Linked DNA regions of Macaca mulatta. The protein of the gene in region 1 interacts with the protein of each later gene in a biochemical or structural test. Links are inferred from orthologs where the notes say so. Each region holds a gene or a part of one and is shown on either strand. Other genes may lie near its edges. The genes, in order: FOXA2 and HOXA5.

Region 1 (4,332 bases):
CCGTTTTGTTCGTGACCGGGCCCATGGCCAAGCTGCCAGGCATGGGGGAACCGTAGCCGGGGTAGTGCATCACCTGTTCGTAGGCCTTGAGGTCCATTTTGTGGGGTTGGTGGTGGTGGTGGCTGTGGTGGTGCTGCTGCTCCGAGGACATGAGGTTGTTGATGGAGAACGGGTGGTTGAAGGCGTAGTGGTGCTCCGGCTTCAGGTGGGCCTCAGGTGGCAGGCCTGGGTGGTGGGGCGGGCCCAGCAGGTGGGCCGCGGCCTGCTGCTGCTGCCCGGGAGAGGGCGCCGGCTCTGGGGGGCTCAGTGCTGCAGCAGGCGTCCCCTTCATCTCTCCCAGGCCCCCTCGCTTGTGCTCCTGGCACGGGGAGGCGCTCGAGTGAGGCGACTCGGTGCCAGCCGGAGTCTCGGAGGCCGGCCCGGCGGCCTCCCCGAGTTGAGCCTGCGAGGCCTGGGCCCCGGCGGCCGCCTTCTTGCCGCTGCCCGCGGCACCTGCGGCCTCCTTCAGCGCCAGCTGCTTCTCGCACTTGAAGCGCTTCTGGCGGCGCAGGTAGCAGCCGTTCTCGAACATGTTGCCCGAGTCAGGGTGCAGGGTCCAGAAGGAGCCCTTGCCGGGCTTGTCCGGAGAGCGGGGCACCTTCAGGAAGCAGTCGTTGAAGGAGAGCGAGTGGCGAATGGAGTTCTGCCAGCGCTGCTGGTTCTGCCGGTAGAAGGGGAAGAGGTCCATGATCCACTGGTAGATCTCGCTCAGTGTCAGCATCTTGTTGGGGCTCTGCTGGATGGCCATGGTGATGAGCGAGATGTACGAGTAGGGAGGCTTTGCGTGCGTGTAGCTGCGCCGGTAGGTCTTGGGGTCGCGCGCGCGGCTCAGGCCCGCCTGCCCGTACATGGGGCTCATGGAGTTCATGTTGGCGTAGGGGGCCAGGCCGCCCATGGCCCCGGCCGCCTGCCCCCCGAGCGGGCTCAGGCTGGGACTCAAGTGCGGCCCCATGCCCGCCACGCCGGCCGCCCCGGCCGAGGCGCCCATGCCCGCCATGGCGCCCGCGCCGGGGGACATGCCCGCCAGGGACGGGCTCATGCCTGTGCCGACGTACGACGACATGTTCATGGAGCCCGCGCTCATGTTGCCCGAGCCGCTGCCCATGGCGGCCGCCGACATGCTCATGTACGTGTTCATGCCGTTCATCCCCAGGCCGGCGTTCATGTTGCTCACGGAGGAGTAGCCCTGCGGACAGAGCCCCGGGAGGGAGGCGACAGCGTTAGCACCGCGGCTCGAGGGTGCCCAGATCTCCCACCCACCGCCCAGGCCTCCGCCTCCGAGGAGGCCTCCGGGGAGCCCTTTCCTCCCTTGTGGCCCAGTTTCCGGACTCCTTGTCTGTTTCATCCAGGGAGAGCCATGATCGATCACCCTTGGGAAGGAGGAGAGAGGATTGCTGCTTGGGTATGTGGCCCGTTCCTAGCCCTTCTCCACCTCGCCCAGATTCTAGAACAGGGGTCCCATGGAGTATTCCCAAACCAGAACCCCAAATGTATTTCCCTGCCCCAGAGTCTCCCCAAACTCTCCTACCAGCATACTGAGCTGGCGCCGAGGCCCGAAGTCCCCGGACGCCACCTTCGGTCGCAGCAAACAACCTGCGGGACACCTCGCGGGGCGCCTCAGGCTGCCTCCAGTGAAGACTGTCCCTGATCCCCTCTGTCCGGTCTCCCTCCCGGGACCCCCTCCCTTGTTCCAGGGAATCCGAAAGGCAGCGCCTGTGCGGAGTGCGGGGGCTGCCGGAGGCACTGAATGGGGCAATAGGGAAGGAACCGAGACCTAAACTACACGCGGCTGAGCTTTGCAGGCACAAACTTTCTTTCTCTTTGTCCACTAGTCTTTGACTCTGCCTCCACTTCAGCCCCCAACTCCTACCCATCTTCTCCTCCTCAGCTCCCCACCCCCTCGCCGGTCGACCTCCCACCCCTCCCCAGCCGCGCGCTGCCAAACATAACTCTGTTAGGATAGTGCGTGGCTCGGCCACGAAGAGGATTTGGAGGCGCCGCAAGTCAATATTTGATCACAAAGTTAATATTATCTCAAGGCTAACAGTGTGTCGTATAAAAAAGAGACCCATTTGATTCCAAGGAGGGCGGAAAAGGCGGCTGCCCAGAAAGGCTGGGGTTGTGGGGCGGGGGTGGGGGGGTGTCAGCGAGGGAAGCGGTCCTGAGGTTGGGGAAGGAGCGAGCGCCGCCGCTCCACTTCCCCCTGGAAAAGACGAGCGCTTACCTCGGGCTCGGCATAGTAGCTGCTCCAGTCGGACGGCTCGTGCCCTTCCATCTTCACCGCTCCCAGCATACTGGAAGCCGAGTGCATGGCAGTTTAAAATTTAACAGCCACAACAAACGACCAGTAATCACCCCCCACCCCCACCCTCTTTTAAAAAAAGTCAGCCAAGGCACCGTCCCCTCCTCCCTCCCTCTCTCGCTCTCCCTCTCCCTGGGCTCCACTCCCTCTCTCTCCCAGGGCCGGCCGGAGGCGGTAGTTGGAAGTGGGCGGGAGTGGGGGGGGGGCGAGGAGCGGAGGAGGCCCCGGCCAGCGCCCCGCGGCAGGGAGCGCCCGCCGCCGCCGCCGCGCTCACGGGCTGCCGGGTGGCGGCTGAGGTTGGCAGTGCAGAGCTGCCCCGAGGCGGCGGGAAGCGCGCGGCGCGGGGGCTGGTTGGGGGGGGTGGGGTGGGGAGGAGGAGGAGGAGGAAGGAGGAGGAGGAGGTGGTGGTGGTGGTGTAGGAGGAGGAGGAGGAGGAGGAGGAGGTGTGGACCGCGGAGCCGACAAGTGCCGCAGTGACGTGGGCGGCTGGTGATATAGCGCGGCGCGCTGGCGCGGGCCTCCAATCCCCAGACCCGGGGCAGCCCATTTGAATAATCAGCTCACACCTAGGTGAGAGGGAGCCGCAGCCGGCGCTCCGCACCTGCCCCTCAGCGCCTGCCGCCCGCCCCACCGCCGCGGTGCCCCGCACTCCTGGGCGGGCCAGGGGAGCGGGCCGGGCGGGCGATCGGGCACACGGGATCCCTGGTCGAGCCCCCTTTCCTCCCGGGTCTACGGCGAGTCCCCTGAGGAAGGAGGGACCTGGGAGGAGACCACCCTCGGGGGCGGCTCTGGCCTCAGGCCCCCGCCGGGTTCCATCGCGCCTTGGCGCCCGGTGCGCCTGTCGGAGCGCGAGTCCGGCCTCAGTGCCCCGCAGATCCCTATGAAAGCCGGATTTATTTATGCCGGGTTTCTTCGCTCTCAGTGCTCATTCTCTGTCAAAACAGCAAGCCCATGACAGCCAATTTGCAAAGTGCTGTCCTATTTAGAAAAACTGTGTACACACCTTTAACTCGCCCACCGCTGCTCCTGCGAGGCCCCTCCTTGTTAGAGTTCAGACCCGGAACGGCCTCGGGAGACGCGCCGGGCGCACGGTCCGGCCGCCTGGGCTCTCGGCCTCCTCAGAGCCCGGCAGCCAGCGACCCGCAGTGGGGCGGCCGGCGCCTGGTGCAAGCAGCCCCTCCAGCAGCGGCCGACGGTTGGGAGGCTGAGATAGGTCTCTGATATTCAGGCCGGCGTGTTTCAAGGTTACTTTTCAGTCACAACCGAGGTGCCCACAGCATTTCGTAACTAAAACAAACAGGGCAGGAGGTGGGGAGGGAGGGGTAAGGAGGGAAGAATCCAGGAATCAATGATGGGGCATATGGAGTTGACTTCAAGAGGGTCCTGTCCTCTCTGTCTTCCAGACGGACTGCTTTATAAAAATTGGAAACTCCAGAAATCGTATACTTTTATTTCCCCTGCAGCTCTTGGGTTCAAAAATTGTCTTCTGTTCTGGGTTAGCCTGTGAGCCCAGATTTGAAGTGGGGGGATATTGCAGGTGTTTGGATGTGGAGGTTCTTTCTTGGTTCTGAAAAACTGGCTGGGCCTTGGGGATCCAGCCCTGTACCCACACCCTCAGACACAGAGAACGCATAGGAAATAGTGGGCATCCAGCCCACCTGTCCAAAATTGGGGGCGATGGTGGCAGAAGACAGACGAGATGGCAGACACGGAGCTTCGCATTGAAGCTTGAGTAAGGGTGAGGCTGGAAGGCAAGAGAGCAGGGAGCAGTAGGCACAGGGGAACCACCTCCCCAACCCGAGGACTCTCAGGTCCGCAGGGTTTGGGCCACAGGAGGAAGCCGCCAGCAGCACCCTTTGCTGCTGAAATGCAGATAGTTTGGACAATTCATAATGAGGACATTAATAAGCCCGCTGAGCCAGGATTCTCCCCCAAATTCAAGGTCTGCATCTCCGCGGAAGCCGTGCCCATCGGTCCCCAGAGTGCTGAAG
Region 2 (4,238 bases), on another chromosome or scaffold:
GGGCACTGAGACGTATATGAGACCTGTGACAGGGACAGCCTGAAGAGAGAGAGAGAGGCTGGTGGGGACCCATGCACCCTGGGTACCCTGCTCAGCTTCCCAAGCCAGTGGGCCTTTTGCACTGGTCACTGATAAATACCCTTTGCTTCCCAACCCCCTCTCCTTTCTGCCCTTCAGAAACCCGTACAGAGAGAGGTGGCCATTTGGCCTCTTCTAGTGTCTCCCCAAAGCCTTGGAGGGCCACAGCCCCAGACTCAGGATTTTTTTTTCTCTCTCTTCCCTCACCTCCTCCCCCTTCCACTCAACTGCTCACTCTTAGCCAACTTCTGCCTTCTTCTGAGCCCATGCCTGAGTTCATACACCTGTCTTGGAGGGATCCCCACCACCCTTGGGGATCTTTGGCACAGATCAGACAGCCCAACACAATCCTACATTGCTAGAAATCCTAGACTAACTATAGCTCCATCTCTTAGCCTCTGGTTTCCAAAGACTCCACAGGGAATCCCAAAGACTCCTAGGAATTCCCTAGGACAGAGCCTAATGCGGATTGTTAAAATTATAATGTTTTGCGTTAAAATCCACTTTATCCTTGGGTGAGTTCTGCGTTTCTCAGAAGGGTCATATAATATGGGAGAATGTGTAAAGATTCAAGAGGGCTGACCATTTTTAACTCTTCAAAAAATGTGTTGAGTTCTGACATGGCTGGTCACAGTAGCATCCTCAGAGAGACCACTATGAATTCAGAGTGTGTACACTACTTACATGGTTCCACACCTCCCCCCCGCCCCACACACACACCCTGCATCCCCACAAAAACACGACCTGGCCGTCCCAAATTAAGAATGCCCATTCTGTTATTTTGATTGTAATGATTTTCCTATGAGGCAGATTTTTCAAAAACAATAATGTCCACCCCAAGTCGTTATAGGTGGAAAACATCTCGCTTGGTATGAAATAATCTCCCATTCAGTATGCTTTGGGCCCCAGACATAGTGGGAGAGGCTGGAGTGGAGGCGGGGTGGTTTTCAGTTCGTATGCCCCTTGTGGGAGGCACTGGGCTGACTGGGTCAACCATCCAGGTCCTGGCTTACCGGCGCCCGGCTGTTTCTGCTCGCAGGTGCTGTGTACGGGAGCCATGGGCGCCGAGGCCGCCAGACCTACACGCGCTACCAGACACTGGAGCTGGAGAAGGAGTTCCACTTCAACCGCTACCTGACACGGCGCCGCCGCATCGAGATCGCCAACGCGCTCTGCCTCACTGAGCGCCAGATCAAGATCTGGTTCCAGAACCGCCGCATGAAGTGGAAAAAGGAAAACAAGCTCATCAATTCCACGCAGCCCAGCGGGGAGGACTCAGAGGCAAAGGCGGACGAGTAGACGCCTGGGCAGGGACCAGGCCAGCGCTGCAACCTCCTTCGGCTTTGCCCCCTTGCCCTCGCCTGCTCCCCAACTTTTCTCCCCGCCTGCTCCCATCGGGGGCTTCCGCAACTTCAGGGGAGCCGGGAGCTTTGCAAGCGTCTGTGCATTTATTTCTTAAAAAACAAAACAAAACAAAACCTCACACACAGCCAATACCAGCGGTGGAGCGGGGCGCATTGCACACACCCAGTCCCGCTCCACAAGGCTGCCCAAACCGGCTCCCGAGTTCTGGGGTGCGCCCTGAAAGCGTCCGGGGCTGCTGTGCTAGTGCCTCTGAGCTCCCCGACCTCGGAACGCCGAGCTGCTAGGGAGGAAAGAGCCCTGGGCCGAGCCCCGTTTCGCGTCTGGGAGTCTGTGCCTAGGTCCCTCGCCAGTAGGTCCCGAAGGGCATCATCAAATTATCTCTGACCAGTTGAAAGAGGGGTTCTAAGTGCTGGAGCCCGGCCTTGTCGCGGCCTCCCAAGCGGCCTCCCAGAACAGGAAGCTCAAGGAACAAAGGGGGCCCCAACAGAGCCCAGTCTCTCGGTCCCGCGTGTGCAACCGTCAGTGGAAAAGAAGCAGCCTCAGCCGAGGCAACCTAACCTGGGCGCGGGTGGAACATTACAGCCCGGGGAGCCCCTGGGATCCCTCAGGCCCCCGGCTCCGGATTCCCGCTCCCTGCCTCCGATAGCGCCCGCGTCGCCGCCACAGCAGCGTTCAGGACCCAACGAGGGGCCCAGGGCCATGGAAGCCGCCAGAGTCCTGGCTTCCAGACGTGCCAGGGGCGCCTGCAACGCGGGGCCTCCAGCGGGGAGACTCCACTTGCCTCTCAGCTATATTTGTGATTTACTTGAGTCTTTCGGAGCCGTGGAAATTAACTACAGAGATACTACGCACTGCCACGATATGCTTCCATTATCGCCCTCATTTTACTCCTGGAGGTCTAAGCAAGACCCCAGTAACCGGCCCCACGGATCCCCAGACCCCAAGCAGCCTCTGTGGCTGCAGGGAGCCTGGGCCCACTCGCTGGGTTCAAGGAGAACCCTCCAACTGGGGGTCCGGCTGGCTCGAGGAACCGGACCCTGTGATGAAGATTTTCCAGGCTGGATACGTAAGCAAATCAAATAGCAAACTAATGACACGAAAACCATATTCACACGAAAGAAAAATCGACTACGGTTATAAAAGTGTATGGAATTTGACCTCGCCTTGCAGAAACACTACACAAAAGCTATCTTTAATAGACGCCTGTCATTTAAGAGCGGCAGGGACACTGTCCCTCATGCGCTCGCAAAAACAGAGCCGTAATTGTAGCTGCTGCTGCTGCGGGCAGGATTTATTTATCCAGTTGGCTAAATGGCTTTCCCCCTTCCCCGAAGGTGATATCTGTATTTTCAAAATTCAGAGCTGCTGGCAGGACGGGCAGAACCGACCCCAACCTCGACACAAAAATAAGAGGGGCTGCAAAACGGGGGAAATAAAGTTGTTGTAAATAAAATGCAAGTCACCACCTTCCCCCAATCCTCTGCATCCTCGCCGGGCGCGCGATCGGCAGCTGACGGCCTAACAATTGGTACATCCTAATGGAACTGCGAGGGAAATGCAATAATTTTGCCATAATGGGCTGTAACCTCAATTCGACCCCGGCCCTTGCAGCCCCCGGTCGGAAACTGGGCGATGCGCCCTGCCTCCAGCGGGTGGCGCTCGAGTCCGACTGAACCGCAGCAACTGGCGGCGGGCACGCGCCCGAGGCGCGCGCGCCACCCCTCTCGCCTCCACCCAACTCCCCCATTAGTGCACGAGTTTACCTCTAGAGGTCATCAGGCAGGATTTACGACTGGACAACAAAAGCACGTGATTCGAAGTCGTACCCCATATTTGGGTGCCTACGTAGGAGGGAACCAAGTACATGTCCCAGTCATTTCCATAATTCATCATAAATTGTGCAAGGGTGCTATAGACGCACAAACGACCGCGAGCCACAAATCAAGCACACATATCAAAAAACAAATGAGCTCTTATTTTGTAAACTCATTTTGCGGTCGCTATCCAAATGGCCCGGACTACCAGTTGCATAATTATGGAGATCATAGTTCCGTGAGCGAGCAATTCAGGGACTCGGCGAGCATGCACTCCGGCAGGTACGGCTACGGCTACAATGGCATGGATCTCAGCGTCGGCCGCTCGGGCTCCGGCCACTTTGGCTCCGGAGAGCGCGCCCGCAGCTACGCGGCCAGCGCCAGCGCGGCGCCCGCCGAGCCCAGGTACAGCCAGCCGGCCACGTCCACGCACTCGCCTCCGCCCGACCCGCTGCCCTGCTCCGCCGTGGCCCCCTCGCCCGGCAGCGACAGCCACCACGGCGGGAAAAACTCCCTGAGCAACTCCAGCGGCGCCTCGGCCAACGCCGGCAGCACCCACATCAGCAGCAGAGAGGGGGTTGGCACGGCGTCCGGAGCCGAGGAGGACGCCCCTGCCAGCAGCGAGCAGGCGAGTGCGCAGAGCGAGCCGAGCCCGGCGCCGCCCGCCCAACCCCAGATCTACCCCTGGATGCGCAAGCTGCACATAAGTCATGGTAAAGCCAGCCTTTTTCTAAATCCACGCGACCGCGGGGACGCGGCTCTCGGTCCCCCCTCTCTCCTCTGCCGCCCTCTCCCAGTCTCTCTCCTGGTCTCATTTCTCCCAGCCCTGCGGAGCCTCTCCTTGCCGTTCTCCCTCCTCTGCCTTCCTCCTTCCTCCTCTTCTTTGCAAGCACCCCGCGCTCACAAATAGTGGGGGAAATAGGCGTTCGCTGGGCCAGTTTAGACGTTGAAAGGGGCAGGAAGCAAAAAACCCCTCTGGAA

Evidence for each region.
Region 2: the proteins of FOXA2 (region 1) and HOXA5 form a complex in vitro, tested with the Homo sapiens proteins (2 studies listed by BioGRID). The link is inferred for Macaca mulatta from reciprocal best matches to the Homo sapiens genes FOXA2 and HOXA5.

The regions. Positions count from the first base shown.
Region 1 is NC_133415.1:61,460,929-61,465,260, reverse strand, and holds the start of FOXA2 (hepatocyte nuclear factor 3-beta), read right to left. Parts: upstream 2,815-4,332; 5' UTR 2,351-2,814; coding exon 2,264-2,350; intron 1,442-2,263; exon of another isoform or gene 1,232-1,441; intron 1,226-1,231; coding exon 1-1,225. UniProt on the Homo sapiens protein: Transcription factor that is involved in embryonic development, establishment of tissue-specific gene expression and regulation of gene expression in differentiated tissues.
Region 2 is NC_133408.1:101,202,340-101,206,577, forward strand, and holds the start of HOXA5 (homeobox protein Hox-A5), read left to right. Parts: upstream 1-1,377; 5' UTR 1,378-3,075; coding exon 3,076-3,970; intron 3,971-4,238. Other genes in the region: HOXA6 (homeobox protein Hox-A6), read left to right, coding at 1,118-1,377. UniProt on the Homo sapiens protein: Sequence-specific transcription factor which is part of a developmental regulatory system that provides cells with specific positional identities on the anterior-posterior axis. Also binds to its own promoter.